Ovis aries: one gene and its partner. The protein of the gene in region 1 purifies or fractionates together with the protein of each later gene. This does not show direct contact. Links are inferred from orthologs where the notes say so. Each region holds a gene or a part of one and is shown on either strand. Other genes may lie near its edges.

Region 1 (3,500 bases):
ATTCTCAATCAATAGTATATACCTGCACAATCAAGATATAGTGGATTTCATTCCCAATTACCACAATAAAGCAAGTGTTGCAATAAACTAAGTATACGAATTCTTGTTTCCCAGTGCTTATTGAAGTTATATTCTTTTTTTTTTTTTTAAGTTATATTCTTATGGGTAATCTACTTAGTATGAAATAGCATTGTCTGGAAAAACAATGTACATACCTCAATTTATAAATGCTTTACTTTTAAAAACATGTTAAACATCATCTGAACCTTCAGGAAGTTGTAGTAGTAACATCAAAGATCACTGACCAAAGACCAACATTACAAATATAAGAATGGAAAAGTTAGAAATATTGTGGGAATCACCAAAATGCGACAGACTGTGGTGTTGGAAAAATGATGTCAATGGACTTGTTCTACACAGGGCTGACACAAACTATGAATTTAAAAAACGAAGTATCTGTGAAGCACAGTAAAATGAGGTAAACCTGATTTCATCCTCCTGTATTCATCCAATTACTCTAATTAACCAAAACAAACTTCTGACAATGGACCACCAGTGTCTCAGAAGAGGTAGTGACTAAAGATGCCTTCACTATCCGAAAGGAAATCAGGCATACAAATAAAAATCATCATTGAACACTTGGTCCTTAGTCCTCGCACATAAACATTCACTTCTTTTTATTACCCAGATTTATCTTTAAACTCCAGTTTAAAAGAAAATAAGATCCTACCTAGAAAACAACTCTCAATACCCATGTTTACAAATTATATTAAAATCATCACCTGCATGAGCAATAAGTCGTGCTCCAACTAATTCCCCAACCATGACTGTAACATTGGGTGCAATGGCCATCATTCGATTTTGCAGATATTCATAAAGCTGGGTTCTATATTCAGAGATTTCAATCACCTAGTTTAAGAAACAAAATGAGTAAATCATAAATAGTTTAAGAGTAAAAGCAGTGTAAAATTCACATGTCTAAAACATCAGAGCCCCAAATTATCACAGAGCAGTTAGTTGTACAATCCCAGGAAAATTAGCCATCCTTTACCTCAGTTTTCTATAAAACGGCTGTTGTGAAATTTTAATATTTAAAAATTAAGCAATATATGTAAACCTAATACACTGCTTAAAAATGTTAATCAACATTTGTTTAAAAAAACTCTAAAGACTAGACATTTGTGTCATCCTCTGTGATTGTCATATAGCTATCTTCAAATGAGGGGTAAAAATTACAGGCTATACACATTCAGATACTGCTAACAATAGAAATTAACTAGACAGTACTCCTTTAACCTCATTTTAAGATATTTTTCTCCCTGCAAGTTTGTAAGTCAAGACGGCATCAGATGAGGTAGTGACTGAACACCCTCATATTTATCAGGTGAACAATACATTTAAAAATCATCACTGCCATCAGAAATTACAGAGCTGGTACCACCACCACGAATTTCCCTATGTGCATAGTGTACCTGAGTGCAAAGGTGCAGAATGTTGCAAATATCTTCTTCCGAAACTTCGGTTCCCATAGATATCTCTGCTGCCGCTTTCACTTCAGCTTCAACCTCCTCTGGCAGTAATTCAGAAAGTTGAGCTGAGGCATAATTCTTCCTGTCGCCTATGGAATGTTTGCAAAGGATGAGGGAGAATCACTCTTCAGTAAATTATATAAAATCCACCAAACAGTCAAAAGAAAAAGTAGAGATAAGCCAATGAAAGGGATGCCTGAACAAAACAAAAAGTAAACAAGTTTGACCAAGTAACTTTACTCATGTAAGGGCTTGATTTTAGAGATTAACTCATTTTATGAACAGTCCTCAGGTTCCTCTACTATATTATTATTATAGTAATAGTATACAATTTAATATTGAGTATAGATAGCAATACTATTTTTAATATTAACCACTATTAATGTATTTCAGGATACTTCCCAGTCACACAGTTGTCCTTATTAACGGCAACTTCAGTGAGACACAATCATTGTAAGAAGCCAGTTCAGGGGAGTGGGGAGCAGATAAATTGGGACCAACATATACACACTATGATATATAAAACAGATTACTAGTAAGAACCTGCTACATAGGACAGAAAACTACTCAATACTCTGGAATGACCTACATGGAAAAAGTCTAAAGAGTGGAGATGTATACACAACTGATTCACTGTGCTGTACAGAAAAAAGTAACACAATGAGTGTGTGTGCTTAGTCACATCCTTTGTGACCCTATGGACTATAGCCTGCCAGGCTCCTCTGTCCATGGAATTTCCAAGGCAAGAATACTAGATTGGGTTGCCATTTCCTCCTCCAGGGTATCTTCCTTGCCCAGGGATTCAAACCAGGTCTCCTGTGTTTCTTGCACTGGCAGACAGATTCTTCACCACTAAGCCACCTATACTCCAAATTTTTTTTAAAAAAAGAAGCCCAAGGAAAACCAAATTAGAGAACGATGTCCTCTACTGTACAGGCCACTGAAATAAAATTCTGTTTCTGAAATCTAGCAGATGTTAATATGGATATACTCCTCAAACACACAAGACTAAAAACTCTGGGAAGAGAATAAAAAAACCAGTAACTCATGTTTTAGGATTTAAATAAATCACTATTTTCAATACCTTAAAGGATAAAGTTACTCACCAACTTTCTGTAAACACTTGCAGTATGTCAAATTATCCGAAATAATTTTTCCTAACTCAGGGAAATGCCAGCCATACCATTCTCTACACCGCATAATGTAGTTGTTTAGTTCTTTATCTAAGTCATCTAACAGGGCTGCAGCAGATTAAAACAAAAAAGAAAACAAGAACTTAAAAGGGTTTTAAAAAACACTTGTGATGAAATAGTCCATCATCCCAAACAGAAACTCTGTACCCATGAAATAATTACTCCTCATTCTCACCACTCCAGCCTCTCTTTTATCCCCTCTATGAATTTGCCTATTCTAAGTACCTCATAAGGGGAATCACACTGTATTTGTCTTCTTGAAAGTAGTCTATTTCACCATAGCACAGTGTTTTCAAAATTCATCTATGTTGTACCATATATTAGAACTTGTAAGGATAAATAATATTCCATTGTATACCACTTTGTTTATCCCTTCATCTGTTAATAGGTATCTGGATTGTTTCTGCCCTTTAGCTGAATCATGATGCTATGAACATAGCTGCTTAAGTAACTGACTAACTCCTTTCAGTTTGGGGGGGCATACACACCTAGAAATACAATTGCTATTTAAAGAAATGTTTAAAACTGGAAACTGTTGAGACTTTGATGTCCAAAAATCACCGAATGATTTATTACATACATAAAGCAAAAAAAACCCCACACCCGTATCTTAAGGTTTTATCATTTTTCATGGAAAAAGATCAATCAGCTTACATTAATAGTGTAGCGTAATTCCTATTATCCCCAAGTAGTCAAATTATAATTAGTTTTCCAATTTTTGATTCTGCATTTCCCAATTTACTTACTAAACTTCTAGCTGGTCTTTTTCTTCCTCAAC
Region 2 (3,500 bases), on another chromosome or scaffold:
CTTAGCAGTAGCAGCAGCAGCATACATGCGTTTACTGAAAGCTATTTGTTCTCAGTTGGTCCTAAATCTTTTTGCTGGTTTTCCTCAGAATTACCTGTAAAGCTTTGAAGGGCAGTAACTCACTTTTTCACATAACAGTGTAACATCTGACATAGCACTACATAGGCATACGCACAGTGGATTAAAGTTGAAAACTTTAAGCTGAACTAAGAGCAAGCTGTATCAGCTGGTCAAGGTTTTAAGCATCTTGACCTTTGAGGATAACTCTTCCTAACTAGGGGTTCCCTGGTGGCTCGGCGGTAAAGAGTGCAGGGGATGCAGCAGACGCAGGTTCAAGCCCTGGGTCGGGAAGATCCCTGGAGAAGGAAATGGCAACCCACTCCAGTATTCTTGCCTGGAGAATCCCATGGACAGAGGAGCCTGGCAGGCTACAGTCCATGGGGTCACAAAAGAGGTGGACACGACTTAGCAACTAAACAGCAGTAAAGAACAACCTTCTATCTCAAGCTCTCATTTTTTAATTTCAGAAAAACAGCTATTGACCTAAAAGTACAGCTGATCACCCCCTAATAGTTCTGATTTGGTCTTGTGCTTCAGGATGAGGTATCCTGGTCCTTCCTGAGAAGACAATATAATAGCATCTTCATGGGATTTTTCACTGGTAGATTCCGGATGGAGATGGTGGTTAAGTTGCTTCAGTCATGTCCAACCCTTTGCGACCCCATGAACCGTAGCCAGCCCGTCTCCTCTGTCCATGGGATTCTCCAGGCAAGAATACTGGAGTGGGTTGCCATTTCTGATTAGATTCCTACTAAGCTTTCCTCCCTGGTAAGCATAAAACTATAGGTCATCATGGTAAGGCTCAAATTTCTTAAGACTTTAATTACAGGAAAATATTTCTTGTCTTTGCTTTTTTTTTTTTTTTTTAAGGCCATGCCACGTGGCATGCCGGATCTTAGTTCCCCAAACAGGATCGAACCCATGACGCCTGCATTGGGATCGTGGAATCTTAACTACTGGACTGCCAGGGAAGTCCCCTGTCTTTTTATAAATGAGGACAGGCATTTGTATTATTCTGTCACTATACTCCCTCTGCCTAGCATACTGCAAGCATTCAACAACTTTTTAAACAATAATCAAAACAATAAACATAGCAAAATATTACGCCTTTTTTTTTTTTTTAAATAGCACCACCCATCACTCCCTTGTATTGAACATCAAACTGAGGGGGCACATAGTGACTCCCCTCAAAGAGCAAAGTCCCATTATGACATCAGTTATTTATCAAGAGTTTCTATTAGGTCTACCAAAAGCTACATTTCATAATAGCCTCATATGATACAGTTGACAGTCCCATTTCCTAGCAGCAAGATTATAAGGGAATGCAATGAATCAAAACTACAATAAAAATTGTGTGATTATCATACATCAAGTAACAATACTCTCAAAGTCACTGTAAGCCAATTCTGAAGAATAACAACAAAAGTTAGGACTGGCCATTTTGAGCTGCTGCTGCTGCTAAGTCACTTCAGTCGTGTCCGACTCTGTGCGACCCCATAGACGGCAGCCCACCAGGCTCCGCCATCCCTGGGATTCTCCAGGCAAGAACACTGGAGTGGGTTGCCATTTCCTTCTCCAATGCATGAAAGTGAAAAGTGAAAGTGAAGTCACTGAGTCGTGTCCAAACCTCAGCGACCCCATGGACTGCAGCCCACCAAGCTCCTCCATCCATGGGATTTTCCAGGCAAGAGTACTAGAGTGGGGTGCCATTGCATTTTGAGCTGAACATCTACAATGTTATAAAAGACCAAATTTCCTTTTTCAAATTGTTCCTTAGGGCCAGATGGTCTTTATTTTGAAGTACTCAGCCCTGCCAGGGTAAAACAAAGTTGCTGCACAAGTTCTGAACTCTTTACTCACTTTCTTCTTTCTTCCCTCCATCTTGCAATCTCCTCTGGAGTGTCTAACTTGATTTTCTTCATACCAGGAGCATGCATCTAAGGGGAAAAGGCCTGCTGAATATCAGGAAGCATACTGTATGTTTTTGACTAAATCTCAAGAATTATAGGAGATAATGAAAACGCTGTACCCAACAGTACATTTACTAGCAGAGAATTTTTAAACTAAGCAAGCAGATTTTCTCTATCCTTATTATGACTTTTCCTTTAAAGAAAAGAGAGTAATTTTTTTCATGTCTTTAGTGCTATTGATTAAAAAGAAAAGCAAGCCATGATATAATCTTGGTTGTAAAGCAAATGTCATCAATTTCTTGAGTAATATTAGATACTCATATGACTGACCGACTATAGTTGAGGGAGTTAGCTAGAGAAATGATGAGTACACAAAACAATCTGAAACAGCACAGTTTAGTAAAACAAGCACAGAATTTGCAGCTAAGAAACCCAAGTGCAAGAATGAGTTCTGAGGCCCTGGGCAAATCATTTTATAAATCTTTTAAACAGGGCCAAGATTTATCTAGTCCACAGTGGATCATGACACTGAATAATGGATTACAAAAATGCCTTATCAAGTACAAAGGCTCATGAATGTTGCTTATTATTAGGCTATGTAGATAAAGTGCTATGAAGATAACAGATCAATGAAATAAAAAGAGCGTGTATCAAAAAAAAAAAAAAACAACTTACATTCCTCCAATGGAACTGGACAATCTTCTCATGTGCACTAAAAGAGCAATCTACCTCAGGGCACTGCACATAGTTTTGTTTTTGTTTTTTTTTAAGGAAAAAAAAAAGATTCAATTCAACATTTCCCATAAAAAACATACCCTTCTACTATACATACAGACATATTCTGGCATTATTACCTAGTATCCTGTCTATGTGGTATTATCTGTGAATACTTACAACAATCAGTTCAGTTCAGTTCAGTCAATAGCAAGACAAAACTCACTCCAAAACCAAGTTGCCCTCTAAAGGTATATAGTACAATAATACATAGCATTCACTTCTCCATTTGAGTGAACGCAGGACATCAGCAATGTTGTAAAATGCTCTTATTTCCTAAAGTCAAGCATGACTCCTACAAACTGAAGAGCACTTACCTAACTAAGAACTTCCTAGCTTTTTTTACTTCTCAACAGCTGCCAGCCCTCCCTTCTCCTCTGCTGCCATCTCACCGACTCCTGAAGTGGAAGCTCCCCATCCTCAAACTGCAAATCCCAGGGTTACTGTCTCAACTTGTCTTCAAACAACATTCCTATGATAACTCTACACTTTTACAGGAAGAAAGCTCAGAATTTCTACCAAATACACCCATTTTGCTAAATAAAATCAGGATAACCAAGAAACCTACTTTCGTATGTTCGGACATGTGTTTATCATACTTTTCTTGATTTTTAAAACCACGATCACAGGTATCACAAAAATAGTGAAAAACGGGTTCCTTTCTTTTCTGCAAATAAAAATGAAGAAGCATTAGGCTTTGGCTGAGAACTCAATCAGCAGTAAAAATATGTAGGCTTTGATTTTTCACATACTCTT

Evidence for each region.
Region 2: the proteins of NOP58 (region 1) and NUFIP1 purify together in Homo sapiens (co-immunoprecipitation; 3 studies listed by BioGRID and IntAct, with this or other methods). This does not show direct contact. The link is inferred for Ovis aries from reciprocal best matches to the Homo sapiens genes NOP58 and NUFIP1.

Annotation. Positions count from the first base shown.
Region 1 is NC_056055.1:204,588,152-204,591,651, reverse strand, and holds part of NOP58 (nucleolar protein 58), read right to left. Parts: intron 2,771-3,500; coding exon 2,636-2,770; intron 1,619-2,635; coding exon 1,473-1,618; intron 1,420-1,472; exon of another isoform or gene 1,338-1,419; intron 910-1,337; coding exon 783-909; intron 640-782; exon of another isoform or gene 556-639; intron 1-555. UniProt on the Homo sapiens protein: Required for the biogenesis of box C/D snoRNAs such as U3, U8 and U14 snoRNAs. Part of the small subunit (SSU) processome, first precursor of the small eukaryotic ribosomal subunit.
Region 2 is NC_056063.1:15,532,322-15,535,821, forward strand, and holds part of NUFIP1 (FMR1-interacting protein NUFIP1), read right to left. Parts: intron 3,412-3,500; coding exon 3,313-3,411; intron 2,709-3,312; coding exon 2,646-2,708; intron 1,998-2,645; coding exon 1,921-1,997; intron 1-1,920. UniProt on the Homo sapiens protein: Binds RNA.